4 linked regions of the Diceros bicornis minor genome follow. The protein of the gene in region 1 binds, or shares a complex with, the protein of each later gene. Links are inferred from orthologs where the notes say so. Each region holds a gene or a part of one and is shown in the gene's direction. Other genes may lie near its edges.

Region 1 (7,792 bases):
ATGGAACATAACCATCACTCCCCAAAAGTTTCTTGTCTCTTTGTAATCCGTTTTTCACAACCATTGTCACTTTAGATTGGCTCTCCCGCTATAGATTGATTTCCAGTTTCTAGGATTGTGTATAAACGGAATCATACAGTATATACTCTTTGTCTGGCTTCTTTCAACATGATTGAGATTCATATTGTGTCAATAATTCCTTTATATTGCTGAGTAGTATTCCACTGTATGGATATATTTGTTTTATATCTATAATTTCTTTATCCAGTCTCCTATTGATGGACATTTGGGTTGTTTCCAGTTTGGGCCATTACAAATAAAGCTATGTAAAACTCTCTGTGCGGACATATGCATTCATTTTTCTTGGAATGGCTTGGGTCACATGGTAGGTATATATGTTAAATTTTTAAGAAACTGCTGAACTGTTTCCAAAGTGGTTGTACAATTTTGCATTTCCACCAGGAGTATTTGAGAATTCTGATTGCTCCTCATCTTCACCAACATTTGATATGATTAGTCTTTTCAATTTTAGCCTTTCTAGTAGGTGTGTAAATCTCATGGTTTTATTTTGCATTTTCCTAATGACATGGTATTGAGCTTCTTTTCATGTGCTTTTGCCGTTGGATATATTTTGAAGGTAGAGTTTGAGAGCAGAGCCAATAAGATTTGCAGATGGATCAGATAAGTAATGTGAGAGAAGAGTCAAGAATGACCTCTTCATCTCTGGCCAGTCCCTGAGTACTTCTTATATTCCTTCTCCCTGACATGCATTGGCTATTCCCTCTGCCTCAACTGCCATTCCCCACATTGGCCACCTTGCAAATTCCTAAATCACCCAGCTCTGAAGAACATTTAGTGACCCCGCTGGTTGGGCATCCACAACCCCTGTAGTTTACCTTCACCTGTATTGAGCTGATTTTCTGTTTACTCATTGTCTCCCCTATCAGCTGAGGAGCTTCTGGAGAGTATGGATGGTTGGATCATCTCATGACTAGCCCCAGGCTTGAGCCCAGCTTCGATCATTTCAGCGTATTTTCACAAACAGTACTCTCCAAATTTACATTTTAAATTATGGGTGCTTTGCTTCAAGCTACCAGTCCACTGGCTGTGTGATCATGGTAACTTAACATCTTGGTGCCTCAGTTTTCTTATCTTTCAAATGGGGAACCTATTGGTACCTGCCTCACATACAGATGAGCATTAAATGCAAAAGGAATGTGAAGCTCTTAGTATGGTGCCTGGCATATGGTGTCTTCCCCAGGAAAATCCAGCTATTATTATTTTCTGATCTGGATACTTTGCTGATCCTTTTCTGGAACTCAAAGATAGGTCCTTTGCAAAGAGTTATTCATAAAATCTCAATCTTTTGAGAAGTGGGTGGGGAAATTTCTCTGTAGAGGTCTGATTCCTTGAATCAGGTAACCGAATTGCTTTCCCTGCATTGGGATCCCCCCTGTTGTAGACAGTGTCCCATGTCCAGTTGTGGTGCTTGGACTCTCATGCCTGTGGCCATGACTCTGTCCTCTACACTGATGCCCTTGGGAGTGGGGCAGAAGTGTCTGAAAAACATTCTTTTGTTTAAAAATCCCTTTTGATGTTTCACATCTTACAAGATACAGTTCAAACTCGAGCAATCTAAGTCCTTTCAGTTCTAGTCTGTGCCTTCCTAACTCCAGCCCAAATGTTAGCTTTATAATATTTAATTCATTCAATTAAAAAATGTTTAAAACCTCTTCCGTGAGTACCTACAAGGAGCCAAACATTATGGTAAAGATATGAAGCTAAGACTGTGAATGTGGGGCTGTCCCTGTTCTTGAGAGAACAATAAAATTGTGGGTGGAGGGAAGTATGGTGGGAGGACAAGGTTGATAAGGAAGGTGCTCAGTAGGTAGAGGGGAAGACGCCAAGCAGAAGGGCCACATGATCCTAGTTGTCAATTGCTTGTCGTCAATCAGTGTTTGTTTTGTGTCCAGCCTAGTGCTGGGCCCTGAGCATTTAATAAGTAGATTTGATCCTGTCTCCCCAAGTCAGATCCTATCTTGCCCTGAGTGTGGAGCCTGGAGTGGGGCAGATTATGGAATGACCAGAGGACTAGAGCCTCCCTGTCTGAGGAGGGCATGTCCAGGAAGTTTCCCAGTAGAGTGCAGTCTGTATGTTATCGGTCCTGGGCCCAGGGACCACTCCCACCTGTGGCTGCACCCAGGACACTTGGAATCCTCTCTCTAGGGGCTGTCTGTTGGTATGATGATAACTGGAGAAGACACACTTGTGGAGATTACCAGATTCTATCTGGCACCAGGGTGATCTCCCTGCTCCTTGACTCGGAGCACTGACTCCAGGCTTTTTAGACTCTAGTGTATTGCTCAACTGGCCCCAGTTCCAGGTTCCAGGGAGACTCTCCAGCTGCTCCCTGCCTCTTGCCTTGGGCAAATGCCTTGCTGGAGCTGCCAGGTCCTGTCTCCCTCCTGAAATGGGACAAATAATCCATGTGAGAGTGTGTGCTGTGTGCAAAGCAGCTTCCTGGACCTCAAAGGAGAAGCATTAGGGCAGGTGAAGAGTCATAATAATAATAATAATAATAATAACTAAAAGTAATATCATACTTATTATGTGCCAGGGATTGTTCTCAGTGGTTTACACATATTAATTTATTTAATCCCACAACCATTCTACAAAGTAGGTACCAGTATAGTGATTAAGAACATAGACTCTAGAACTAGACAGCCCAGGTTTGAATCCTTGCTTTGCCATTGACAGTACTAGCAGTGTGACCTGTGGGGGAGGCCTGTGTCTGTTTCCCCATCTGCCAAAAGAGGATAATATTAATACTACGTCATAGGGTTGTTATGAGAATTAAATGAAATAAAGTTTACAGAGCATACAGAACAGTGGCTGGAATATAGTGAAAGCTATCTAAGTTTTTGATAAATCTCATTTTTACAGATGAGGAAACTGAGGAACAGAGGAGTTAAGGAATTTGCCTAAGATCACACAACTAGTAAATGATGGAGCTGGGCATAAAACCCCAGGAAGTCTGGCTTCAGAGCCTGCACTCTTAAATATTATGCTCTGACAATGAAGACAGAATGTCCACATGAATTACTTTATGAGAGAAGTAGGTGGGGGAAGCCCTGAATTAATTGATGTGGAAGCTTCTAGCACTTAAGATGTCAGTATTCCTTCTGCTGTGGTAAATGAAGTTTGCAGCAGCTGGCTGGACTGTCCCAGGTGGCCAGCAGTTTCTGGAAGAGGGATCTAAGGCATAAGCAGGGCCTAAGAGGCTGGAGTTCAGCCAGGTCTCTCCAGGCTCCTGTCTCATAGTTCATTCACCTTGTCTCAGCACTCCGCCCAGGGAGCCTGGTGTGGCATGACACTCCGGAGGTGCTTGGTAAATGGCAACTTAGAATGGAGAATCCGGGGCTGCCCGGTGACGCAGCAGTTAGGCGTGCACGCTCCCTTGCATCGGCCTAGGGTTCGCAGGTTCAGAACCCAGGCGCACACCGACATACTGCTTGTCAAGCCCTGCTGTGGCGGCCTCCCATATAAATATGGAGGAAGATGGGCACGGATGTTAGCCCAGGGCCAGTCTTCCTCACCAAAAAAGAGGAGGATTGGCATCAGATGTTAGCTGAGGGCTGATCTTCCTCACCAAAAAAAAAAAAAAAAAGAATGGAAAATCTTTGCCAAGTCTCTAGGAGTTTAAGTATGTGGCAAACTGAATTCAACTCAGCTGTTGAATTCTGGGCCCTGGGGATACTGCAGTGAATTGAGGGGCCACTTGGACCTCAGCCTGCCCATAGTTCAAAGGCGGAAACGCACAAGTCAACAAGCAGATTGCGGGCAGTGGACCCCAGGGATAATTGGGAGGGATGGGCGGGAAGTGTTCCTGGCCCAGGTAATGGCCCAAGCAAAGGCAACAGAAGCTAGCCAGTTTCCTTTGGCTAAGGGCGGGGTGGTGATCTGGCAGAATCCTATCAACCTGATTATGGAGTCTTTTACCCTGAGGGAGAGGAGAGAAGTTTTAAGTCTGGAGAGGCAAGCTCAGGTTTGCATTTTATAAGGCTCCTTCGGGTTGCCAGGAGTGGACCTGAGGAGCGGGAGCCATTGAATTCCACGCTGCAGAGGAAGCAGGGAGACGGTAGGGGTGAGGGATCCGCTTTAGGGTGGGGGCTGTGGAGCCATTGAATTCGAGGCTGCAGAGGAAGCAGGGAGGCGTAGGGGTGAGGGGGCCGCTTTAGGGTGGGGGCCGTAGGGACGAAGAGCGGCTTGGACTAGTGCTGAGGTTTTTGCGCAGGCGGTTTCCCCGGCCTGACTCTCCCATCCTTGCCCCTCACTCCCTTTCCTCAGCCTTTGCCGTGTGGGGCTACTCCAGGGCCGCCCCGGATCCACACTGGGCCTGGGCCGGGCCTCAGTCACCCGGTGGCCAGCTCAGAGCCGCCTCTCCCAGTGCCCCGTCGCACCCCTGGCTCTCCCCGCCCCGGGCTTCAGGGCTCTGGGCCGGCGCGGCGCCCGTCTGCCGGCCCGCAGGCCCCGCCCCGCCCCGCAGGCCCCGCCCCGCGCAGCCCGCCCGCCCGCGCGCCAGGCCCGGGCGGCGCCGACGCGCTTGGCGGGAGATAGAAAAGTGCTTCTGTGCGCGCCGGCGGCGGCTGCAGCTCCTGCGAGAGGCGGCGGGACCTGCGGACACGCTGACGCCTCCCAGCGCGGCCCCGGGGCCCGGAGCGGCCGGAGCAGCGCGCGCCCTGACCCCGGCCCGGCTCCCGCTCCGGGCTCAGCCGGCAGGCGGGCGAGCGCGGCGCGGCCCGGGCCGGGGGGATGTCTCGGCGGACGCGCGGGTGAGCGGGGCCGGGCGGCTGAGGGCCCCTCCCCCTCCGCAGACTCCATCCCCCTCCACCCCGATTCCTGCCCCCCCCCCCATGGTCCCTCCGAGCGGGGCCGGGGGGACGAGTTCTGCGGGAAATGCTGAGCCCTGGGTCGCCTGAGGCAGGGGGCGCTCGCGAAGACGGGGGCCTCTTGGGGACCCCTCGCTCTGCTCCCCGGGCCTGCTGGGCCTCGGAGCCGGGGCGGGCGGGTCTCCTGGGACCCGGGCCAAGCCCTGCATGATGTCATTTTGTCTCCCGCCTAATTGCGGGGTGGGGGTGGAATGGCGGTGTCAGCTAGAAGGGCCTTTACCGGGGAGGGAGGCGACCCCTGGAGAGGGAAACTGATGCTCCAAGTCGCAGTGAGCAGGAGGCCAAAGCCTGAAAGACACTTGTCGTTCAAACCTATTTTGGTTCAGATTTGGCGATTCTCAACGTTTGGGGAAGCACAGAACACCCCAAGTCCTCTCCCCTGCCCTGAGAAGGGTGCTGTGGGGGAGGGGGCCCTTTTGTCCCCCACCACCTGGCTTCCGGGCCCCAGCTCGGTTTAGTTTCAGAGACCTGTCTTCCTGTTCCACGTGAGGAGTTTGGGGCAGCTGGGGTTGAAGGTGAGGGGAAGAGAAACTGATGTGTATCAAGACCACTCTGTGCCAGCAGCCCCTGGGGCCACGGCAGGAACTGTGGTCTCCATTTTACCTATTCCCCCAGAGAATAAGTGGCAGAGTCGAACCTGGAACCAGGTCTGTGGGCTCCGGGTCCCAGTCTTACACCTGTGCGCCTGGGACCTGAGTTCTGGGCTTTTCAGCCAGTCTGGGAGTCAGGGAGGACAAAGGGGGTCCTGTCTTGACCCCTGCCTGGATTCATGCAGCCCAGACAACCCTACACCCGTCTTGAGATGGTGTTTGCCTTCTCAGGCTGAGGATGTAGACCCGAGAAGCACTCATTGCTGGCTTTCCCCAGAGTTCCTCTCAGCGAGGAGACATCTGATCCCTGGGCAGTGGTCAGGGTACCTGGCACAGGGTCTGTCTTCCTCAGGTCACGATTTCCCAGGGCTGCTCGGAGTCCCAGGAGTTTTCTGGTTAGGCACTTGTCAGACCCTGTTGTGACTTTTGATTCAGGAAGTTTTACTCCAGGAAATGACAAAGCCCCAGACAACCCCCAGGTCCTCTGCCACTTCTCCCCTGGGGCTCAGTGGAGGAACCCCCTCCCAGGTGGGGGATAGGTTCTGCACCTGGCACCCCACAGCCCTCAGCTCGATTCTTGGCCACTTGCTGTAGCTCTCCTCTGCACCAGTGCCCCACTTCCCGCTCAGCTTCTGACTCACCCCGCCTGGAGCAGAGCCCAGCACATTGAAGGGCATAGAAAGGGTGTGTTGGACCTACACGTGGTTGCCACCACTGACTTGGCCTCTGCTTTTTCAGCTGTGATTACTTGGTGAAGACTTGAAGGTGCAGGTTTGGAGCCTGGCTCTGTGGACTTGATAAGTGGCATAACCCCTGAGCCTCAGTTTCCTCATCTGTTAAATGGGGATAATGAAAGTGCCTATGAAGTGGTTGGTCAGCACCATGTTGCTGACGGAAGTGTATTATCTCACAGAATTCTCTCAGCTGAGTTGCTTCCCCATTAAATAGAGGATTGGAGCACCAGAGAGTGTACACACGGATACCTTTTCATCCTTGAAAGAACATTTGCTGAGCTTCGATTAGAAGCTGGGTGCTGGAGAACCAAATATCGTTTCTGTCAGAAAGGAGTCTGGGGGCAGTTAATTTTAAAACCCACTTCATTCTGTTATTAGTGTCTTGTAGATGTCTTGCCTCCTACTTTGTGATGGTGGAGGACCCCATGTATGGGCTCGGGAATGACAGGGCAAGGCTGCGTTCCAGCTCCTTCTGTGACTGATGTGTTGCTGGGTTTAGACACCATACTTTCCTTTCCTACTTCTAAAAAATTTACTTTAATTAGTATTTCTTTTCAACTAACAAGCAGCAGCTTTGCATGTTCATTCATTCATTTATTCGTGTATCTGGTCATTCCCTGAGCAAACATATCTTAAGGCCTTTTTGGTGCCACCTCCCATCCTGGCCCAGTGGAGGTGGAGCTGACCTCTATTGAAGATGTCAAGGAGATAGGCAGTTGCAGCCTAAGGGTCTACATTCTGAGACAGGAGGATTTCCAAGGTGCTGTGGGAACACGGGAGTGACTCCAGGAAGGTGCTGAGATCTGGAGAAGGGGAAAGGAGTGTGGACACAAAAGGAAGCCCTCTTCCTTCTTTTGGCACACGGCTTGTGCTTGCCTTGCTTGCTTGGAGATGTGTAGGCTTTTCCCACTTAGAAATACCTGCCTTAGGAACGTACCTGACAGGTGACCTGATGCAGGCCCCACCACGTGGAGTTGGGAGGTTACTAACCTTCCCTCAGCACCTGACATCCCTGAAGATGGATAGTATGATCTCCATTTTTTTTTTTTTTTTTTTACTTGAGGAAGATTGTCCCTGAGCTAACATCTGTGCTCATCTTCCTCTATTTTGTATGTGGGATGCGGCCACAGCATGACTTGATGAGTGGTGTGTAGGTCCGTGCCCGGGATCCTACCTGTGAAACCCCAGCTGCTGAAGTGGAGCACAGGAACTTAACCACTACGCCACCAGGCCGGCCCCATGATCTCCATTTTTGTAACCATTTAAACCTAATAAATATGAGGATTTTGGAGCAACTTGGAAAATTGCCTATTAGAAAATTAAAAACATCGAGAATTCAAAGCTGCTTCTACTCCATAAACTGTCTGTGTGTAGAGAAGGATTGAGAAGGGGGTATGCAAAAACGGGCATAGTTACTGAGATAACGTATTTAAAATAATATTTCTTAAAATCCTTGTGCTTGATGATCACACACATGGTTAGCTCTAATCCTCAAAATATGCAAGTTTAAAAAGTTTTG
Region 2 (7,603 bases), on another chromosome or scaffold:
ATTGAGATATAATTCGTACATCATACAATTCACCTATTTAAAATGTACACTTCAGGGGCTGGCCTGGTGGCATGGAGGTTAAATTCTCAGGCTCTGCTTCGGCTGCCCAGGGATTCGCAGGCCTGGACCCCAGGTGCAGACCTATGCATGGCTCATGAAGCCATGTTGTGGCAGCATCCCACATAAAATAGAGGAAGATGGGCACAGATGTTAGCTCAGGGCTAATCTTCCTCACCAAAAAAATAAATAAATAAAATAAACGTACAATTCAGTGGTTTTTAGTATATAAACAGAGTTGTGCAGCCGTCACTACAGTCAATCAATTTTAGAACATTTTCATCAGTCCACAAAGAAACCCTTGTACCCTTTAGCAGTTACTCCCAATTCCTGCCCCCCCGCCCCCCCTCTGGGCAACCACTTTCTGTCTTTGTGGATTTGCCTATTCTGGACAATTCATATAAATGGAATCATACAATATGTGGTCTTCTGTGACTGGCTTCTTTCACTTAGCGTAATGTTTTCAAGGTTCATCTATGTTGTAGCATGTATCAATACTTCATTTCTTTTTATGGCTGAATAATATTCCATTATATGGATATACCTTTTTTATAAAAGTAATAAAAACTTTACTACAGAAAAATGATAAATACAAAGAAAATAAAAATCACCCATAATCCCACCACACAGGGATAGCCACCGTTGTATACCATTTGTTCTGGATTTTAGTCTATGCATTATGTACAATCACATTGCTGTGCAACCATGACCACCATTCATCTCCAGAACTTTTTCATCTATACAAACTGAAACTGTGTACCCACTAAACAGTAACTCTCCGTTCCTTCCTCCCACAGCCCCTGGCAACCACCATTCTACCTTCTGTCTCTATGAATTTGACTACTCCAGACACCTCATATAAGTAGAATCATACAATATTTGTCTTTTTGTGATTTTATTTTATTTAGTAGATTGTCTTCAAAGTTCATCCCTGTTGTAGCATATGTGAGAATTTCCTTCCTTTTTAAGGCTAATATTCCATCGTATGTGTATACCACACTTTGTTTATTCATCCATCGTTGGACACTTGGGTTGCTTCCACCTCTTGACTACTGTGAACGCTGCTGCTATGAACCCGGGTGTACAAATATTCTTCAAGACTCTGCTTTCAATTCTTTTGGGTATACACCCAGAAGTGGAATCACTAGATCATACAGTGATTCTATGTTTCATTTTTTGAGGAACCACCACAGCAGCTGTACCATTTTACATTCCCACCAGCCATGAACAAGGGTTCCAATTTCTCCACAACTTTGCCAACATTTGTTACTATCTCTCTTTTTTATTATAGCCACCCCAGTGAGTGTGAAGTGGTGTCTCATTGTGGTTTTGATTTGCATCTCCCTAATGACTAATGACGTTGAGCATCTTTTCACACGCTTATTGGTTTATTATATCTTTTTGGTATCCTTTGCCCATTTTTGAATTGGGTTATCTTTTTATTATCAAGTTGTAAGACTTTTTTTTTTTTGCTGAGGAAGAGTCACTCTGAGCTAACATCTGTTGCCAATCCTCCTCTTCTTTTCACTTGAGGAAGATCAGCCCTGAGCTAACATCTGTGCCAATCTTTCTCTATTTTGTATGTGGGTCGCCACCACAGCATGGCTGACGAGTGGTGTAGGTCCACACCTGGAATCCGAACCCGTGAACCCTGGGCCACCAAAGCGGAGTGCTCCAGACTCAACCAATACGCCACAGGGAGGGCCCTCAAGACTTCTTTATATATTTTGGATATAAGTCCCTTATCAAATATACGATTTGCAAATATTTTCTCCCATTCTGAGGGTTGTCTTTTTACCTTCTTGATAGTGTCCTTTGAAGCATGCAAGTTTGCACAGAAATAACTCAATATCTGATAAATGGGCAATGGGACTGGAAATGATCAAACCTGATATGCACAAAATGTGGCAATGTTTGATTTTCTTATGGTGTATTTTATCTAGATTCTTCATGAGTTAACATCCTTGTCCAAATTTTGTTAGTTTTTTTTTTAAAGCAGACAATGACTCTTATAAATCACGTCATTTTAAATTGAAATGCACAATTTAAAATTTACCAGTCCTCTGATAGATGTTATCCTCACATCACAGAGGGGGAAACTGAGGCACTGAGAGTGGCCCAGATTCCCGATTCTATCACCTGGTCAATGTTGCCCTTGAACAAGTTATCAGGTTGTTGGGAGAATCAAGTAAACCAATGAATATAAAACCTGTGTCATAAATATTCAGCAAGGAACCTCACTGCAAATAATAGTGAAAGGCCTTGTTCACAGTCACACAGCTAATAAGTGGTAGATCTGGGGCTGGGATATAGCTTTCGGCTTCAGAGTGTAAGACACATTTAGGGTTTTTGTTCAAAATTCAGATTATCAGAGGAAGGGCCTAAAAACACTTATTTAAACAGCAGACCTGCTGTTGTGAGTGTGTGAAAACTGCCTTAGGATAAAACTTGGCTCCCGTGGGTCTCATGATACACTGACCACGGGTTACAGTCACAAAGTGTCAACTTCTCCCACTCCCCTAACCTACCTACCTACCCTAACTTGGTTGTTTATTTCTATCCTTTCATTCTCAAAGGTTGACCTTTCCTTGAACTCATCTCCAAATTGATAGTGACCTACCCCGCAGGTGTCGACAACAGATCAGTTGTTTTTCGTCTTCTCAGAAGGTAGATCAGTGAAGGAAGAATTACTTTGTAAGATTACTTTGCCTACACCCTCCTCCCCCGCCTACTTCAAAAGTGGCAGCACCCAATTATCCAAGGCACAAAGTTGGCATCACCAATGACATGAGAGACCAAGTCACAGAGAATTAAGTTAAGAAATCAACTTGCCTGAGGGGCCGGCCTGGTGGCGCAGCAGTTAAGTGGGCATGCTCCGCTTCAGCTGCCCTGGGGTCCCATCCCGGGTATGCAGGACGCACTGCTTGTCAGGCCATGCTGTAGCAGTGTCCCATACAAAATGGAGGAAGATGGGCACCGATGTTAGCCCAGGGCCAATCTTCCTCAGCAAAACGAGGAGGATTGGTGATGGATGTTAGCTCAGGGCTCATCTTCCTCATAAAAAAAAGAAAAAACAAATCAACTTGCCTGAGATGATACAACCAGCAGCCAGAATCCTAACCAGGCCTTGGGGCACCAGAGCCCACCCTCTGAACCTCTAGGGTGGCTAGTGCAGACACCTCTCTCCTCGCCTTTGCCTGCCTGCCCCAACAAGCTTTCTCCTAATTTCCAGGATTCTCCTCTTGTCACACTCCAATCCGTTTCCCACATTTTTGTTCTACAACAAAGGGAAACATGCCATCCGCATTATGTAAAACCCAACTTCTCCATTCTCCCACGCTCTTAGCAAGTCCAACTCCGTTAGCCTGGGCTGGCCTCTGTGTACTGCTCTGTCCTCATCTGCGTCTACCACCTTTCAACTTTTCAGCTCCTGGAATTCACCCATGTTGTATTGTCATTGCCTAACTATCCCATCTCCCGACCCCTCATAAATTCCTGGAGAGCAAGGATTGGAGCTCAGTAACATTTGTTAAATACATTATTGAAAAGCAACAGTGGTTTATTACCGGACAGCGTTACAGACAGGAATTGTGACATCTTTCCCCAGGCTTCTTTCAAAACGGGATGAATTCTCATCTAGCGTTCTCGTAACATTTCGACGGCGGTACTTGACCCTCTTGTCGAGTCACCGTCGATTTTTGTCTGTATCCTCCAGGCACTGGGTCTGCAATTCTCTCCCAGCTCGCTACCTGGTCGAAGTGTCGAAGGGACGGAAGAGCTGAGCCCAACAGTTCAGCTGCCGACCTAAACGACTAACTCCGCGACCTCTCACGGCCCCCCTCCCAGGCTCCACGCAGCCCCGGTTCCGACACTCGGGAGGGGGTCCCCGGCTGGGGAACCCCGAGTGGTGGACGGAGCGGCGGCGGCCCGACCCTGCTCCCCGCTCCCTCCGCCAGCTCTCAGCGCACGGAGGGGAGGGGCTCGCCGGGGAAACGTGGGTTTGGGAACCGTGAGAAATTGCCTGGAAGCAGAGCCCCCCCGGGTAACGTGACCACGAAGCCAGGGCTTCCCCCCCGCGCCGGGCCCACCGGTGCCGCCTCCCGCCGTCCCGCCCTCTCCCCGCGCGGAACAGACGGCCTGCAGCGCCCGCAGCTGCAGCGCGGGCCGCCCAGCGCGCGCCGGGAGGGGGCCGGCCGGACTCGGGAGCCCGCGCTGCACCCCCGCGCTCCGGCGCCGGGCCGGGCAGGGGCGGCGCGAGACGGGCCTCGCTCGGGCCGGGCCGGCCGGGGGCGGAGGGGCGCGGCGCGGCCCCCTCCCCCGGGCGGGCGGACGGGCGGGGCCGGGCCCGCCTCAGCCGGCAGCGCCGCGGCGGGAGCGCCGAGCTCCGCATTCGAACCTCCCTCGCAAAGACAGTCTCCGCCCCACAATGCACCGCGGCGGGCAGCCTTTGAAAAAGCGGCGCGGCTCGTTCAAGATGGCGGAGCTCGACCAGTTGCCTGACGAGAGTGAGTAGCGGCTCCCAGCACCCCCCCTCTCCCCGCCGGCCGCCTGCCCCCGGGCTGCCGCGGCCGGGACGGGCGGCCGTGCCCTCCGCCGAGCGGGCGGGCCGACTGCCAGCGCCGCCGGGGCCCCCCGGTCCTCGCACCCCGCGGTTGCCGCCGCGTCGCCGCCTTTGTTATGGTGTCGGTGTGCTGGTTTCTGGGGTTGTGGGAGCGCCAGGGCCGGAAACCGAAAGCCCGGGGGCCCGGGCCCGGCCGCGCGGAGGCGGGGGCCGCTCCCGGGCCCGACTCGGGGCCCGGCGAGGTGGGGAGGAGCGGCCCCGGCCGCGGGGGCCGTGCGCCCGCCTGCCCGCTCGCCCGGCGCGCGGGGCGCCCGGCGGGCTTATGTAACCCGCCGGGCCGGGGGAGGCCGGGCCGGGCCGGGGGCCAGCGCCTGCTTCGGCCCCGGCCTCCGGCCTCCGGTGTCGTCCTGTCGGTTCCTGCCTCCGCAGGCTCCTGCGATCTGCACGTCCTCCCCCTCCTCCGGCGTGTCCAGCCCGGGAAGTGTTTCCGTGTCAGAGGGCTGGCCCCTTCCCCTGGGACCACAGGTGGCCGTGGACCTTCCCGGAGAGAATCCAGACGGGGGGCACAGTGTCGAGGGGGCCCCCAGCCCGCAGACCCCCCTTCTGTGCGGGCGCGTCCTCAGCATCGCGGGGGCGCCTTGATAGCCGGGTGTGACCCTCGCAGCACGCGCGTACTGTCCCCTCCCTGACACCCTCCTGTCACTCACCCTGCCGTCTCGCACAGGTGTGCTCACTGGTGTTGTCAGTAAAAGCACGGAGGTCGTAGTCTCGGCACAAGAGAACTTACTGTTGTCATTTACAAGATTGTGTAAGGTGTGCAAAAAGGCGGATCTCCTAGTTAATGACAGAAGGGTCCTGATCCACACTCGCTCTTCAGTTTATGGATGCGTGCTATGTGTGAGAGTTTGAGGATAAAAAAAAAAAGGCCCAATGGCTGTGAAATCTGTCTGCGCCAGAGGCAGATAGACGCTCAAAATGAGAGCCAGAGACAGCCGATTCCGTTTCCTCTGTGGGGTCATAGACTTTTAATGTGTTATAAAGTTGCACTAAAAGTTCCAGCTGGTCAAAAGTTGGATTGAAAGAGTTTATGTTTCAGATTTGCTCTAGACCAACGCTAAATTCCAATGGAACTTTCTCAGGGACGGGAATGTTCTATTTTGCAGTGTCCAGTAGGGTAGCCCCTAGCCACACGCGCTGTGGAACTCTTCCGGTGAGGCCAGAGTGGCTGAGGACCCAAATCATAAAGATCACGTAATTTTTGTTAATTTAAATAGTCACGTGTGGCTGGTGGCTACTGTATGAGACAGGCCACAACTGTAGACCATGCGTGAGTTTTCTTGTTTCTTGTTTGGAGAATACAGTTGACTGGTTTAAGATGCTCCTAGATGAGGGTGGGCCTACTTACTAAGCACAAGGTGCTTGTCATCCGAAAAGGCTCACTCTCTTTATCATGAAGATGTGTTGTCACCTCGTAAAAGTCACAGCCACTAGAGCTGTTATTTTGGTTACCGTAGTCACTCTGGTGAAATGAGAGGTGTTTTAAGTGGCTTTCTTATAACTGTCATTTAGAATATCGGCTCATCATCATTAAGCGTTAATTGAGGACTTACTATGGTTCTTTGTAGAGACTTGGGGCTCATCCTAGGGTTCTAATTCCAGCTCCACTCGCAAACTATATAACAATCATTGATATTGCTTTGTGACATCTCTGGTAGGTTGGGGGGGTGTGGGCGTGCGTGTTTGTGTGCTGTGTGTCTCGTTGACCTTGACCACAGCTCATAGAAAGAAGGGATCGCCTTACCTGGTTTGTCACACAGTGCCACAAATCAGGTATACGGAAATGCTTGATTATATGAAATTGCACGTAGGGTAAGAGGCATTATGAATGAAACTGGAGCAGAGTCCTGAAAAGGGAAAGTGATTTCAATTTGATATTGGAAATAGCTGTATGTTTCTTTGCCAGTTTTAGTCAAGGGGGCTAGCTAATAAATTAGCCAATAGCCAGTATAACATTATCAATAATAAAAGGTACCGTTTATTGAGTACTTACTATGAACCAGATGCTATGCAAAGCGTCTTACATACATTTGCTTGTTTAATCCTCATTTCAATTGAGGAAAGTCGTCGTGTTAGTTTGATTTTATATATGAGGACACTGAGGCTGTCTTCAGCCCAGGTCTTTCCTCAGAGCTCCTGTACCTGATATCTCTTGCCTATTTCACATCTCCTCTAGGCACCTCAGAGGCCCCTCAAACTTCCTGGGTTCAAGATCTACCTCATAATCCCAGCCCAGGACAGAGACACTCCCAGGGGGCCCCGTCTTAATGAATGGCTCCACTGCATTCAGCTGAGACCTAGAAGTTATCTTCAGCACTTCCCTGTTTTTCACTTCCCGTATTTAAGCCTTTACTAAATCTTGTCACTTTTACCTTCTGAATGTCTCTCAGCTCTGCCTACTTCTCACCATCACCCTGGCCCAAGCTGTCACCATCTCTTCTGCACTTCAGCCTCCCATTGACCCACCACCCCTCGCCTACCGCCCCCCCTCCAACCTACACATAGCCGGAGTGATCCTCTCAGAATGTGTGTGTGTCATCTTGCTGCTTAAAACACTTCAGTAGCTACAAGACCCTTTGTGGCCTGGCCACTCCCCCACTCCAGCTCCATTTTGTACCACTCTTCCTCTCGTTCTGTCCCTTTGAGCTAAACTTGACCTTTTTCATTCCCTGCACTTAGCAGGCTTTCTTTGTTGCAGGGCCTTTGCACATGCTGTTCTCGCTGCCTGGAGGGCTCTTCCTTCCTCTCACTGCCAGTTAACTTCCGCTTATCCTTTAGATCCCATTTTAAGCTTCTTCAGAGAGCCATGTTCTGTCCTCCTTGATAACGATGACATCCTCTTGTTAAATCTGTTCGTACCACTCTCTAACTTCTCAGTGGCAGCCGACACAATGCAGCCTTGCATTTGTTAATGTGTGTGTGTGGTTA
Region 3 (7,322 bases), on another chromosome or scaffold:
TCCCTTGGAACCCTGCTTTTGCCACATGAACAAGCCCAGGCTAACCTACTAGATAATGAAATATGCAGCCCAGTCACCTCTACTGCCCCAGCCGACACAGAAGCAGAGCTGACACGTGGAAGCCCGTGTGGAACAAAGACCATGCGGAGAGGAGAAGAACCATCCAGCTGGGCCCAGCCCAGACTGCCAACCAACAGAACTGTAAGCTAAATAAATGATTGCTGTTTTAAGCCACTAAGTTTTGGGGTGGTTTATTTCACAGCAAAAGCTAACCGACATAGAAAAGTAAAAAATTCACATAGATACATGATAACGAAGCTGCAGAAAATTAAAGACAAAATCTTAAAAACAGGTAGCTGCTAATATAGTTTTTAGGAGAAAGAAATAATTTACTAATGAGGTCGATCTTGAAGCATTCTAAATACTTCAACTCAGTGTGAAGTGGCAAAGACTAGGGAAAGGCAGGCACTCTAAGCAAAAAATCACTATCTGAAATGTAGTCCAGTTTGGTGAAAAAGGCCAAAAGGTCGATTAGAGTTAAGGGCTATGAGCCAAGCTGACAGGCTGTATTCTGTCTCTGCCACTAGCTATGTGACCTTGGAGCAAGGTATTTCACCTCTATACCTCAGTTTTTTCATATATAACGTAAACAATATTACTTGTTAAGGATTAAAAAATGTAGGTAAAGTTGTGCTTGGCGCACAGTGAACACTAGATGTTAGGGAACTTCACTCTTGAGATGAAAACCCCTAAAACTGTTGTGTGTGGGAATAACAACAGAGAACCAGAGAATCTGAGTTAGAAGGGGCCTATGAAGTTATACAGTATATCCTCCGTTGGTTGGTTGGTTGTGTGTGTGTGTGTGTATCCTCTATTTTTTGACAGTTCTACTCCACTCTATTATTACAAAGTTCTAATCCAAAGTCTACGTCTATAAGGCAGAGTAGTCTATTTTCTTGTCTGAAAAACAGCTTTTCTAATAGTCAAAGGCAGCTAAAAGGTCTCCCATTACTTTCCTTTCTCCAGGCTAACAGCTTCCTGTAAAATGAAACGTTTATACTCCAAAGGCCCACTATGCTCCTCTGGGGATCCTCCATACCCCAGAACCGGGAAAAAAAGAAAAGAAAAAAAAGGTCCTATTTCTGTAGGATTAACTCAACAAAGACCTATAATCCATGACCTCATACCTGCCCTCAAAGAGATCACATTCTAGTTGGAGAAGCAGACAAGTAAAGAAAACAGTTGAGCGCTATAGTAGAGGGAAATATAGGATGCCAGTAGGCACAGGAAGAGCAACCACCCAGGTCCCGTGTGGGGTGAGCACGAGTGTGTACTGGTGGTTGTTCCGAGAAGGCTTTTTGGAAGAAATAACATCTGAACTGAGTTTCGAAGAACCAAGTAGGTTTTAGCTAATTCAATAAGACAGGCTATCACAACAGCTATCTATCTACTCAAATGCTCCCTCTCAAGACTCTCCTCTTCTAAAGCGTTATATGAGATGATGAACACAATGCATAATAGGTACAAAAGCAGTTTATAAAATCTGCAAATATGCTTCTCATATGGCCAATTTCTTATTTCGATTTTAGACTGTTGTGTTAATTCATAGTTATAGGAAAGCATTTCTAATTGAAGTTTTGGCAACAGCAGCAGTATAGGCTGGTAAGGTTAAAAATGAGCTTTTTAGAGTAGACAAACCTGTGTTCAAATATAAGCTCTGCACATTTCTAGCTATTCATTGATTTAACCAACATTTGTTGAATAACTACTCTGTTATAGATATCCTGCTAACTGCAGGGAACACAGAGTATCAATATTTTAGAAAAGAATTTTCTCCATGATTCCTTAATATAGAATCCTGTTACTCAGCTCCTAACATAAACCCTAAAACTACTGATATATTTCAAGAGTGTTTCTCTCATAAAGCACTAGCTGGCAGAACTGTTTTGTTACGAAAAGAAATACCCTGACACATTCTTGCCCAGATAGGACCAGGCAAGGCCAAGACTTTTCTCACAAAACACTGGCTATCAGTTATCAAGCACATTATTTCATTTAACATTCTCAATAACCCCATGGAGTAGATTGTGACAGTAACGGACTCCAATGAATCATGCCTCCCTCTGACCACGCCCTTCTGCAACATAACTTGGCCACTGCTCCCATAGAGGTAGACTCCATTTCCCCTCCCCTTGAATCTGGGCTGGGCTTGTGACTTACTTTGACCAGTATCAGGGAACTGATGTTGCAAGACTTCCAAGGCTGGCCTTAACAGACCTTCAGCTCTCACTCTTACCCTCCAGGAACACTCCTATGGCCCTGTAAGGAAGCCTCAGCTAAACTACTGAATGACAGACCACGTGGAGAGAGTGTGAGACCCAGCCAACAGCCGGATGTGCATCTGCGTCTATTTTACCCTACCAGCCCCAGCTGAGCTGCCAGCTGACTGCACCTGCATGAGGGAGGCCAGACTAGACCAGCAAAAGAGCCCAAAGAATCCTGAGAAATAACAGTTGTTTTACACTAAGTTTTTGGTTTGTTACACAACAATAAATAACTGAAGCACTCTATAAGATAGGTACTACTGTTTATCTGCAATTCAGAGTTGAAGTAAATGCTTAGCTTAAGTTTCAGAATTCTGCAAATACTTGAAAAACTATATCTCTTCTGATAACTAACGCACTTATTTTTCTTCAACAAACAAAAAAGCAAGCAAGCATGCGGGAAAATATAAGCTAGTTTTACTTTCATCCATTCTATAAAAATTACATGCAAAGAAGATTAAGCCATGAAGACATATTCAACTTATTTCCAACCCATGGAATAAGTCAATATATATTTACTAGCTGGGTAATAATAACAACAATTTTGTGACACTTTCTAAGTGTTGGGTACTGTTCTAAGTGATATAACACAAGTGTATACGCACACACATACTCATTTCGTTCTCAGACAAGAATAAGTCCTATAATTATCCCCATTTTCCTGAGGGAGAAATTGCAGCACAAAATAGTTAAGCCTAAGATACACAGCTAAATTTCCCACTGATAAAAGTAGATTACATTCACCACCACAGAAAAGGCAGCACAGCCTACATAAAGCACAGTCAAGGTTCCAACAGCCCGGTTAGAGCAGGTGTATCCCATCAATACAGATCAAAGTGATCTCAGCTGTCAGGATGTAAATATTAGGATCAATTTGAGAAGCATACTTTAAACAGAATGCACGTTCATTACAAAAGAACAGTATAGTGAAATCTACAAAGAAAAAACGGACAATACCTATGATTAACACTGCTGAATAACTGCTTGCAGGAGAGGGACATGTCACAAATTTTAACTTGGAGTGGACCTAAGCCTTCTACACAAATTCCGACAAAATTCCTAAACAATCCAGATTCCTGCAAACATTACTACTCTAGACATCCTGACCCACGTTATGAAGACATTCTGCCTATGTGCCCTTTTTCAGAGCTGGTGGCGGAGAGAGAGTACCCAAAACAATGACCCACAGAAGACGGTCCGAGGGGTTCTGGACATGATAGCGGCCATACCTCCTCAGCCCCCACCAGCCTCAAAAAGCCATCTCCCCGCAAAACTCTGCATCAAGGCCCAGAATATAAATTTCCCTCAATCAAAAAGGAAAAAAAAAAAGTCCAAAGAGAGGCGAGAATTCGGTGTGAGAGGCCAGAGAGCGATGGGAAGAGGCACCAGAGAAGGCTGAGAAGGCCGTGGGAGCAGTCGTCCCTCAGACCGCGCTTCCAGAATTTTACGAGACCGGTAAGGATGCTCTCAAGGACTGAACGAGCTGACAGTCACCCTAGGTCTAGGGCCCCGAGGGATCCCTGCACAAGGTCCCCTTCAGCCTTCTGCTGATCCCAACATTTGCCTCCATAACCGACCTCAGGCCCGCCCCCTTGGTCGTCAGGCCAGCGCCTAGCCTCACATGCGAAAGCCGCCATCAACCCCAGGAGAACAAGTCTGTGGTTTCCCTCCCCACCTCCCATGCCCCTGAGAAGTACTCACTTGCCCGCCAGATCTTTATGAGAGCCGCTCGAATTCATGAGCTGGGCCAAATCCTGTCGCACGGCTGCCGCCATCTTTCCTCCAGCTCAGCCGAGGTTGCAGGGCCTCCCACTGCCAGAAAGAAAACGAGTGTAGTCCTCCAGAGTGCAGCCAGAGGGAACTCGAGATGCCACAGAGTAGCGTTTCTGTGGGCCAGAGCGCCGCGGTGGGAGCCTGCGCTGGGTCCGCCCCCAGGGTTGAGTGACGCGAAGCTCCACTCCTCGAGTCCGAGGCCCAAGCAGGTCTCTCCCACAGGCTGGGGCTCTCACGCTCCCACTTCGGATTGGAGGATGAACTTCAAGGGAGTGTGTCGCTTGTGCAACTCCGGTAAGTGTCGGGTATGCAAAACTATCGCGTTTTCATTAAGTTCCGTGTGTCACGTCTATAGTTTACCGATCCTCGTTCTTTAAGGCAGTCCTTAAACTACCTGTGGTAAAGAAGGAGCTGTTTTTTTTCCAATTCACCAAAGACCGACACTTTTGTAAAATACGGTAAAAAATGACCCCATTCCCCCTCCCACTCTGTACCTTTTGTATAAGTTGATCATATATCCCAGTTTGTCCAGGACAGTGGCATTTTCCATCTGTTGTCCTGGGGTAATTATTAATAACACGCCCTTCCACTCTAGAAACACTTTGATTTGGATGAAAAAGTATATGGTCACCCTACGTTTATATGTAATTATGTTCATTATTCATATATCCGTATAGAATTTCTTTCTGCAAATATAAGCAAATAAAAGTACATTTTTATCCTTTCTTGCTTTCACAAAAGATAGCACACCATATCATTAGTCTGCCCTTGATTTTTTCACTTTTCCTAAGATCTTACCATAAGTCTGCAAAGCTTCCTCATTCTTTTTTAGAACTGGAGAGTATTACATAATGAGGGGATGCGTAGCTTATTTAATCCTTAAACTAGACACTTAAATAGTTTTTAGTCAATGCTACAATGAATAACCTTGTACATCCATCATTTTATATGTGTACAGGTAGAATACATTCCAAGAAGAGAGTCAAAGGGTAGATGTGCTTACAATTTTGATAGATACTGCCAAATTGCACTTTATAGGGATGGTACTTTTTTGCCTTCCTACCAGCGATATGTAGGAGTGCAATTTTCTACAGCCTTGCCTACAAAGAACGTCAAACGTTCTAATTTTACCAGCTTGATATGTCATAATTAGCATGTTCCCTCTATTGAGAAGAGGAAAGAAGCCCAGAATAAGGAAGTCCTTTTAAGAAAGTAATGTGGAGTGCCCACATCAATTCAGATCTCACTCTATTGGCAAGAGCTTAGTCACATGACCATGGCTAGCAACAGTGAGACTGGAAATTTAGTTTCCAGTTGGCAGTCTTGTGCCCAGGAAAAAGGAAAGGATGGTTTTAGAGGAACAGTCAACACTCTCTACTACAATCTGTCCCTCTGACCACCTAAATATCTGTGTTTCCTTCTTACAGTAGAACGCTCGCACCCTCTAAGAAAGAGAATTCAGTTTCCCATTTAGTTTCTATATTAGCTCAAATTCCAGGATGTCTGATAAGGCACAATCCTCTCCATCAGGTTAGGATATGGTTTTTTATGGTGCAGAGACATATACACTACAAAACAAATTATCTGCTCCATACCCATACGTGTAATACAAAACAAGAGTGGAGCAGGAGTAGGATAACCCCAGGTAAAACTCAGAAAAAATAAAAATGGGAAACATACAGCAGTTACTGGTCTATAGCAATGGTGGAATCCTGGGCAGGAATTATGAATACTCACTATCCTCGTAGTGGAGTAAGTTCCTTGGTTAGACCCTAGTTCTGCTCTCTGAGAGGATCTCCATTGTCCGTTGTATTTTGTGGGCCCAAGCTTTGCCCTCTGCATACAAGTTAACTGGATGTTGAAGAGTATTCCCTCTTTGGGGAAATGCCTCAGGACTTGAGCAATTGAGGGCTTTTGTAGGCCAGGTTTTTCAATATATATATAATTTCATTGAGTATTCAGTAACCTCTGCTGCTTCCAGACAGTTTCTGGTGCCAGTAACCACACCCAAAGTTCTTTCTAGTAGTTATTAAACTTGCCCTATTTTCCGGCTTCCATACTCAGTCCATTCTTAACATCCTCCTTTTAGTGATGGAAGCTTTGAAATCATCTAAAACAATAGGTTTAAATGAGAAGAGAACTCTATTCATTTGATTTTTGCTTCAGCTTATCTTTGTTTTCTGTTTATGTGCATTTGCCAAAAAGTCTTAATGGGCTATGAGAATTCTCTAAGCTAAGTCTTTTCTTCTGCTATTTAGGGGTAATAAACAGTTGGCTTTTTCAACTTAGTGAAGCCCCAGAATTTCTGGAACATTCTATTCCCTTTTTACCCTGACTTCAAACTTTACTTGTAATACCTTGCTGAAAGCAAAAAAGAAGCAGCCACACACACAAACTGGCTCTTTCTAAATATCTCCACTAGAGCTACAAGCTAGGAAGGGAGGTTGTCTGCCATCCTAGTTATTGTAGGCCGCAATTTTACTGAATTTTTTGACATGACAAGGCCTCCCCTTTCCAGACTGCTCATTACTCCTGCCCAACTTCGAAGAGACTACTACATATTTTTAGGTTTTACTTATAGCAGTGTGAACATTAATAAACAAAAACCTCATTAAAATGGAGTTGGGAGGCCACAAGGGGAAGCTCTCATGCCTTACCCAGATAGCAGAACCCAAAAGAAGAAGAAAGACTGCCTCTTCTTTTTTTTTTGTGAGAAAGATCAGCCCTGAGCTAACATCCGTGCTAATCCTCCTCTTTTTTTGCTGAGGAAGACCGGCTCTGAGCTAACATCCATTGCCAATCCTCCTCCTTTTTTTTTCCCCCAAAGCCCCCCACTAGATAGTTGTATGTCATAGTTGCACATCCTTCTAGTTGCTGTATGTGGGCCACGGCCTCAGCATGGCCGGAGAAGCAGTGCGTCGGTGCGCGCCTGGGATCCGAACCCGGGCCGCCAGTAGTGGAGCGCGCACACTTAACCACTAAGCCACGGGGCCAGCCCAGACTGCCTCTTCTTGACTAGCCAGAAGCTCAGCAATGAGAGTCCGTCAAAACTCAGCCAGTGAAGACCCACTACACCTCAAACTCTTTGTTTACAATAGCTTTCCCAACTTCCCCTTCCCCTCTATAAAAGAGTTTCTCCTCCCTTGCTGGTGGGGACTTGCACGTGGCTTGCCATGGTTGCAGACTTCAAATTGCAATTGTTTGCTGATCCCAAATAAACCCATT
Region 4 (7,711 bases), on another chromosome or scaffold:
CCCAACTACTCACCTGGACTTTGGCCACAAATGTTGCCTCTAGATGTTCTATGTTCTCTGCGGTCAGGAGGGGTTCCAGCTGAGACACGTCAGCCTCAGGCCCCAACTCCAGGCACTCCAAGCTCCCCATCATTTCTGGCCTAGAGATGGATAGCCCAGTGTCATGCTGAACCCCCAGCCTCTGACCCACCCACTTCCCATTGCCCCAAGGGCACTGACCCCAGGTACACATGCAGTGCCCAATGCAGCAAGGTGAAGGCATCAGCAGCTCCCAGCTCAGGCCCTTCCAGGAGTTGCTGCAGGCAGTGGCGCAGGCCGCTGTGCAGGGTGTGGGCCCAGAGCTGGACCACCTTGTAGTGTGGTGGGCAGCAGGGTGCTACTAGTGCCTCAGCTGTGGCCAACTCGGCTGGTAGAGCCACCCGCAGAGCTTCCAGCCACCCTTCTAGGGCCCCAGGCCCAGGCAACAGTGTTCCAAAGTGGATCCGCTCCAGGCCTTCCTGTAGTGCCTGCAGACAGCGCTGCCGCCAGTCCCGAGGAGCCTGTTCCAGGGAGGTTGTATGCCCAGCATCCACCTCTGCCACGCGCACAGCAGCCACTAGCAGGGCTGGGTCCTCCCGTGCCAGCTGCCCCGCAGCCCCTGCAGCTGCCTCCACAGCCTGGCCCAATGCCTCAGCTAGATGGCCCAGCCCCTCGAAGACTGGCAGTTCCAGGCCCCCGAGAGGTGCCCAGGTCTCCTCTCGCAGCTGCTCCAGCTCCCGAAGGCTCACATATGCCTCCAAGAGCCGCTGGGCACTGATCAGGGTCTGTGTGTGGGCCACTGCAGCCGGCACTAAGGATGGAGGAAAGAAGACAGCACTGGGTCTCAGCCTTCTCACCTGTGTAATGGGTACAGCAGCAGATGCTGAGGCCCTGGGGCTGCGGTGATGTCTAAAATATTTAATAACCGGGGCCGGCCCCGTGGTGTAGCGGTTAAGTGCACGCACTCCGCTGCTGGCGGCCCAGGTTCGGATCCCGGGCGCGCACCGATGCACCACTTGTCAGGCCATGCTGTGGCGATGTCCCATATAAAGTGGAGGAAGACAAGCACGGATGTTAGCTCAGGGCCGGTCTTCCTCAGCAAAAAGAGGAGGATTGGCATGGATGTTAGCTCAGGGCTGATCTTCCTCACAAAAAATAAATAAATAAATAAATAAAATATTTAATAACTGGTACAGTAGAGCATTGGCCAATCTGAAAGGAGCCAGGGAAGGTCCTAGCAGCCTGGTGGGCCTGGTGTAAACCCTTGAGCTGATGGAACGTGAGGAAGTCAGGGATCCTGGAGGGAAGACAGGGAGGAACTGGGGGACCATGCTAGTGGCTATTCACCCACTCTTTTAGGGATATTTCAACATATTAACAATGAGGGTGTCCAGAGCTGCTTGACTGGGTGTCAGTCCTGACTCAGACATCCCATGCTTGGGAACCCCAGAATGAGCTGACTTGCACCCTGCTTCATATGCCATTTGAAGCCTAAGTTACTCTCTGGGAGGTCTGTGGTGTGTCCCTCCATGCAGTCTCTCACTAGTGCCCCCGCCCCTTGATTAGTGATGGGCATTTGTTGACTAAGTGTTGGAAGGCTGAGGCCCAGTGCCCCTGCACACTCACCTGCCTGCAGCCGGGGCAGCAGCTGAGACAGGGCCTGCAGTTGCTTGTGCTGGGCAACCCGCTCTCGCAGCGGCTCTAGGGTCTGTGTTGCCTCTGCCATGCCCCGGAGCAACCCGCGGGCCTGGCCCAGGGCCTCATGGACTCCCTGCACGGCCTCAAGGGCCCGAGCCAGCTGCCACACCCCAGTCTTCACGCCCTCCAGGTATGACTGCACCACCGACTGTGAGAGAGAGGCAGCCAGTGATGTCTGGCCAGCCCTGCAGCCCACCCCCAGCACTCCTGCCCCCTGCCTGCTGCCCACCTTGATGCGTGCTTCCAGGGAGCAGGTACGCTGCACCTCACGGCTGCGATATTGGCCCAGCCTGGCCAGCTGCTCCGGCCGGTAGAAGATGCCCGAAGCCCACTTGAGTGCTGCGCCTCGGGCCAGCCGCTCCGCCCTCTCCTGCTCCGGCCACTCAGGCCCTGGGCAGGAAGAGCCTGGGCAGCCACGTCAGTTGGGCAGGGCCTGCAGGAAGTGGCCGCCGAACCTGCTCCCCTTCCTACTCCTCAGCCTGTCCCCCAGGGCAGTCACTCCTCTCACTGCCCTATAGAGCTCCAGCCAGACCTGGCAGGGAGGACCCAATCCCACCATTCCCATCTTTCTTGCCACCGTCCCTCCCTCAGCCCACCCAGAGGGTTCATACCAGGGGGAAGAGCCGGCTGCATTTCGTCCTTGGCTGCTGAGTCCATGGCAGGCCCTGGAGGAGCCGGAGCTGAGGTAGGAATGGGGGTGAGGGTCTGGGTTAGAGCAGGCAGAGTAGATCCTCCTTTGAGCTGCAGCCTCCCTCTAGGCCCCTCTGAGAAGGAGGAGAGAGGTCCTTGCCCAGCCCCCTCAGGAAATGAGAGGGAGGTGGGTGTGATGGGGAAGCACCTGAGAAGCCCTTGCCTGCTGGGTTTCTCAGTTTTGCCCCAGCAGGTGCCAAGTGAGGCAGGGTAGGCACAGGCCTCTGCTGGACCCCGTTCCTGCTCTGCGTTAAAGAGGACAGCTTGGTTTGGAACTCACCAGGCTTGACCAGTTCTCTCTCCTCCGCAAACAGCCTTGGCCTTGAGGATGGCCCTCTCCCCCGGCCCTCACAGCAGAGCTGGACACTCCCTCCACTGGCTCACGAGGCCTGGGTGGCTGTGGCCCACACCTCGGCATGCAGCAGAATTCTTCTCCCCAAGGAAGCCTCTGTCCCACCTCCCTGCCCAGGAGCCCCCTCCTCCTTCCAAGGCCCCTCCCTCCCCAAGGCCACATGCAGAAAGGAAGGAAGCTGAGTCTCTGGTGCTTTATTCCCAACAGGAAAGAACATCTGCACTGTGAGATGGGGCGGGGAGGGCTGGGCACCACTTCCTTGGGGGGAGGGGGGTGTACGCCCTGTGATCATTGAGTCTTGACCAGCCTACCCAGGATCTCTTCATGCTCGGGACATGGACATGAACTCGATGGCCCCAACCTGGGGTGGAGAGTGGGGTGTGCCAATATGGATGCAGACAACAACATCACAGAATGAAAACCATGTGGAAGGACCCCTCAGAGGAGGGTGTGTGCCTCTGTAGAGGAGAGACCGCAGGCTGTTGTGAAGAAGGTGTGTGGTGGGTGATGGCAGGAGAGGGTGGAAGGGCTATGAAAGCTGTGTTTATCTTGAGAGTTAAAGGGGGCCATGGAAGGGACTAAAAGGTAGTCATAATGCAGTGGACTCTGGTGCACACCCAAATCCATCCTCAGGACAAAGACACTAGTTCCCCTAGCCGCCAGGAGTGTAGGCTGCTGAGGTCTCACAGCTGAGTGTCCTGGTCAATGTTAGGGCACAAAGGCCCATTACCCTTGCCTGAACGTGGAATGCCTTGGAAGGGCCACCCCAGTTTCAGAGCTCCTAGTAGGATGAGCTGAGCCCTCTATTATAACTGCATCACAGTTTAATTCCCCTCTCTGCCCAATTCTGTTTGTCTTACTCCCTTACAAGTGTGGATCCTCAATAAACTTTCTGCAGCCAAATCCCTGTCTCAAAGTCTGTTTCCCAAAGAACCTGACCTAAAATAAACAATAATAAATAATTACAATGTTAAAAATAACAAAATGATACTAGCAAACACATAATCCTTCCACACCAGGAACTGCTCTAAGTGCTTTATATATATTTACATATAGGTAAACATGTTTGCATTGGCTGAAAAGTAGTTATAATTCCATGGCTTCTCAGCACTGAATTATGGAGACAAGAGAAAGATGAGGCTGGGACAGGGAAGGGGGGTGGGGATGGAGACAAGTGGATAAGCTAGATGTAGTTAGTGCTTGCTGTTGGCAGGAAATGAGAGACAGGAATAGGGTGCCCCAAGAAGGCGGGGCAGCCTCTAGGAGCAGGTTTGGAGAAACACATTGGGTTCATCAGGCAGCATGGTCTCCTCTCCCAAGATGGGGGATGGGGCAGAGTTAGTGGAGTTGGGGCAAGTTGGCCAGCCAGTAAGTTTCCAGTGGCTCCCCCTTCTCTACTGCCAGGGCTGCCCACCGACTTCCTCCCTCGGCACCATATCCTGTTTCCCGGGCGCGTCGGTTGTTTTCGTCCTCTTTGGCGGTTGGACATTTGCTGATGGTCCCCGAAGTTTTCGGCCCTGACGGCAGAGAGGAATTGCGCCGGGTTCCCTGGGAGGGCGCGGGGCGGAAGCGGAATCAGCGACGCTGGCGCTGGCGGCCGGGTGGCCAGGAACGGAAGCGGAAGTGGCGGGGGCGCCGGCCTGGCCTGGCCTGGCTGAGGGGAGGCGGCGGGCAGGCGCGATGGCGGAGGCCGGGCCACAGGCGCCGCCGCCTCCGGGTACCCCAAGCCGGCATGAGAAGAGCTTGGGACTTCTCACCACCAAGTTCGTGTCGCTTCTGCAGGAGGCCAAGGACGGCGTGCTTGACCTCAAGCTGGTGCGGCCCGGACTAAGGGGCGACAGGGAGGATGGTGGACCAGGCCTGTGGCTGGTAGCGGGAACCCCCCGGGGCGGCCCCGCTGAGCCCCAGAGAGTAGGCCGCCATCTGTGTGCTTTCTCACAGGAGGGAGGCCGGGAGCTGTTTCATTCATTCGGCCGAGGTTATTGGGCGTCAGCTGTGTCAGGCTCGGGGCTGCAGGTGCTGGTCCTCGTGGCCCTCCCCGGCTGCTGTGGGGAGAACAGCATCAGAACATCAGTTTAGGCTGTGCCAGGCCACTTCCCGCGCCGCGGTCCTGAGCTGCTGTAGTGCCTGGGAGGAGGGTTGGGGCCCAGGCCACCCTCTTTCCTGACCACTCCAGACCAAGTCTCAAGGTAGCTGGGAGTACACCTGAGAGTGCGGCTCAGCGTCCTCCACTCCGTTTTGTCTGCCAGGCAGCTGACACCCTAGCTGTGCGCCAGAAGCGGCGGATTTACGACATTACCAACGTGCTGGAAGGGATCGGATTGATCGAGAAAAAATCCAAGAATAGCATCCAGTGGAAGTGAGTGGGGACACCTGGGAGGGCGATGGGATCTCCTACCCGGAAGTGTCAGGGGTGTGGGGTGGAGGGTACAGGAGAGAGTAGGGGCCATGGGACCCAGAGTTCCTGGCAGCCCCTCTCAGCCCCGTTCCCTGGGCTCAGAGGCGTGGGGCCTGGCTGCAATACCCGAGAGATTGCGGACAAGCTGATTGAGCTCAAGGCAGAGATCGAGGAGCTGCAGCAGCGGGAGCAAGAACTGGACCAGCACAAGGTGTGGGTGCAGCAGAGCATCCGGAACGTCACAGAGGACGTGCAGAACAGCTGATATCCTCCTGGCAGTCCCTGCTCCCAGGGAGTGGGCGAGGGGCCCTCTAGTCCAGCTGGGTTTGCTTTCTGGTACCCTAGGCCCTATTACTCTTGGGAGGATGGTCCTGCAGCTCCTGGCCAGCTCCCAGCCTGGGGCTGCCTCCTCGGAGCCCCTCCCTTACCCGTCTTGGCCTGTGATCCCTCCCCATGTAGACCCCAAGGGCCAGGACTTTCTTTGAGGGCTTGTATGTCAGACCTTTGCTAAAGAGCTGGGTCTTCTCTGTGTCTGCCATCTGTCACCATAGGCAGGGCATCAGCCATTCTCCTTAACCCCCACACCTTGGCCTACGTGACTCACGAGGACATCTGCAGATGCTTTGCTGGTGAGCAGAGCCTGGGTAGGGGGAGATGGGGGAGGGCATGGGCTGAGCCACAGCTCTGAGCAGTGGCCTCAGTGCCCAAGGAGAGTTCTGTCTCTTAAGAGGGCTCCTGGGGCCTGCCAAAGAGGAACCAGGCAGGGTAAGTCCTGGGTTTGAGGGTCACTGGGACCCTGTGGAGGCCAACCATACTGAGAGGGTACAAGAATCCTGGGCTGGATCCCAGGTCAGCCACCATCTGCACTGTCCCCGAGTATGGCTTCTCAGGCGTGACAGGCATAAGGGGGAGAGTGTGTGTGCGTGCTTGTATGCAGGGGGCAAAGGTGCCCATTTCCAACCTGTAGTTAGTTGCATTGTGAATACAGGAACTGTTCCTTCTCCATCTTGCATCCCCCAGATTGGTCCTGGGGAAGGGATGTTGGCCTTGGCCTGAACACCTACACCTAGGGAGCAGCAGCCCCATCAATTGAGAAGTGAGATGCCCAAGGCCAGCGATCTTTGAAACTAGTGTTTGCCTCATGTTTGAAACTAGATTTACTGGTTACTGATCCCTGGGCTCTTGGGAGGAGAAAAGGTTTAGTTCTCTGCTTCAGCCACTGTGGAGTATGGGTAAGGCCTACTGTCCACCCCCTCAGAGACCATGATCCTTGTTCCAAGGGATAGGCACCCCCATTCCCAGCTCAGATTGAGCCCATAGGCCCTGACCTATTCTCCTTGTCATTCTAGGAGACACCCTCCTGGCCATCCGGGCCCCATCAGGCACCAGCCTGGAGGTGCCCATCCCAGAGGTGGGTGCTCAGCCCAGGCAGGCGGGGTTGATTGAGGGCGGGTGCTGGCTGTGGAACCCGATAAGTCCCGGGTGGGGCAGGTAGGGGGGTGCCTGGGGTTTGGGGTTATCTAGGAGGACGGGCAGCCTGGGGTGGGAGAGGATACTGTGGCCCTGGCCCCAGGTCAGGCAGGAGCCAAGCCTGCTTCCATTTCCACCTGTCCCCCACCTCCAGGGCCTCAATGGGCAGAAGAAGTACCAGATTCACCTGAAGAGTGTGAGTGGCCCCATTGAGGTGCTGCTGGTGAACAAGGAGGCATGGAGCTCACCACCCGTGGCAGTGCCTGTGCCACCACCCGAAGATCTGCTCCAGAGCCCACCTGCTGTCTCTACCCCTTCGCCTCTGCCCAAGCCTGCCCTGGCCCAGCCCCAGGATGCCTCACGCCCAAGCAGTCCCCAGGTGACCACCCCTAATCCTGTCCCCGGCAGCATGGAAGCCCCAGGGGTGGCCAGTCCAGCTGCTGAGATCACAGGTGAGGCACGACGGGCAGCTGGTTATAGGGTGATCTCTGGGGCCCAAGAGGCAATACTTCTGTGTTGTGGAATGCCATACTCAGAGTTGGAAAAGACCCTGGGGGGGTTGTCCCTTTCCTGGCCCCTAACTGGCTTCCCCTATGGCATCCGATGAGCCCTTTTTAACAGAGAATCTCTGACTGTGTGAAAGGGCCTTAGTGGTGGCAGTTTTCCCCCGGATCCACCTGTGTCTCACTTGCCCTGGCAGCCCCTCTTGAAATGTGGTCACAGCAGCCAAGTGGTCCATGAGTCTCTCTCCTGCAGGCCTCATGCCCCTGTCTCCTTCAGTGACTCATTTCCAGGTTACTTCTTCAGAGGTGGCTGGCAGTGCCTTGGGCCTGGGAACCAGGAATGTAGTCATCCTGGCTGTGGGTTCTAGGATGCCCAGCTTCAATATCCCACTTCCTGCCCTCAAGTGACTGGGTTCGGGGGATGTGGTTGCAGTGAGTGGTGGCCCTGGAACCGATAGCAAGGACAGTGGTGAGCTCAGCTCACTCCCGCTGGGCCCGACAGCACTGGACACCCGGCCGCTGCAGTCCTCTGCCCTGCTGGACAGCAGCAGCAGCAGCAGCAGCAGCAATAGCAGTTCATCC

What was found.
Region 2: the proteins of MYBL2 (region 1) and LIN9 are in contact, whole or in part, in a crystal structure (PDB 6C48), measured with the Homo sapiens proteins. The link is inferred for Diceros bicornis minor from reciprocal best matches to the Homo sapiens genes MYBL2 and LIN9. Residues at the interface, in NP_002457.1 of Homo sapiens: Trp663, Ala667, Cys668, Gly669, Gln674, Met677, Gln678, Ala681, Arg682, Leu684, Leu685, Arg687; in NP_001353174.1 of Homo sapiens: Lys356, Gln385, Arg386, Tyr388, Ala389, Thr390, Val392, Leu393, Leu395, Glu396, Asn399, Leu402, Asn403, Leu406.
Region 3: MYBL2 (region 1) and LIN54 share a complex: the UniProt entries of both Homo sapiens proteins name them as parts of the DREAM complex. The link is inferred for Diceros bicornis minor from reciprocal best matches to the Homo sapiens genes MYBL2 and LIN54.
Region 4: MYBL2 (region 1) and E2F4 share a complex: the UniProt entries of both Homo sapiens proteins name them as parts of the DREAM complex. The link is inferred for Diceros bicornis minor from reciprocal best matches to the Homo sapiens genes MYBL2 and E2F4.

What each region holds. Positions count from the first base shown.
Region 1 is NC_080758.1:17,298,809-17,306,600, reverse strand, and holds the start of MYBL2 (myb-related protein B), read left to right. Parts: upstream 1-4,631; 5' UTR 4,632-4,812; coding exon 4,813-4,832; intron 4,833-7,792. UniProt on the Homo sapiens protein: Transcription factor involved in the regulation of cell survival, proliferation, and differentiation. Transactivates the expression of the CLU gene.
Region 2 is NC_080777.1:7,694,994-7,702,596, forward strand, and holds the start of LIN9 (protein lin-9 homolog), read left to right. Parts: upstream 1-4,427; 5' UTR 4,428-4,483; coding exon 4,484-4,562; intron 4,563-7,603. UniProt on the Homo sapiens protein: Acts as a tumor suppressor. Inhibits DNA synthesis. Its ability to inhibit oncogenic transformation is mediated through its association with RB1. Plays a role in the expression of genes required for the G1/S transition.
Region 3 is NC_080747.1:67,681,075-67,688,396, reverse strand, and holds the start of LIN54 (protein lin-54 homolog), read left to right. Parts: upstream 1-4,322; 5' UTR 4,323-4,391; intron 4,392-7,322. Other genes in the region: COPS4 (COP9 signalosome complex subunit 4), read right to left, coding at 4,026-4,099. UniProt on the Homo sapiens protein: Component of the DREAM complex, a multiprotein complex that can both act as a transcription activator or repressor depending on the context. In G0 phase, the complex binds to more than 800 promoters and is required for repression of E2F target genes.
Region 4 is NC_080771.1:19,075,034-19,082,744, forward strand, and holds the start of E2F4 (transcription factor E2F4), read left to right. Parts: upstream 1-4,409; 5' UTR 4,410-4,438; coding exon 4,439-4,573; intron 4,574-5,007; coding exon 5,008-5,117; intron 5,118-5,258; coding exon 5,259-5,420; intron 5,421-5,741; coding exon 5,742-5,785; intron 5,786-6,505; coding exon 6,506-6,567; intron 6,568-6,780; coding exon 6,781-7,078; intron 7,079-7,562; coding exon 7,563-7,711. Other genes in the region: EXOC3L1 (exocyst complex component 3-like protein), read right to left, coding at 14-140, 220-829, 1,645-2,121, 2,328-2,373. UniProt on the Homo sapiens protein: Transcription activator that binds DNA cooperatively with DP proteins through the E2 recognition site, 5'-TTTC[CG]CGC-3' found in the promoter region of a number of genes whose products are involved in cell cycle regulation or in DNA replication.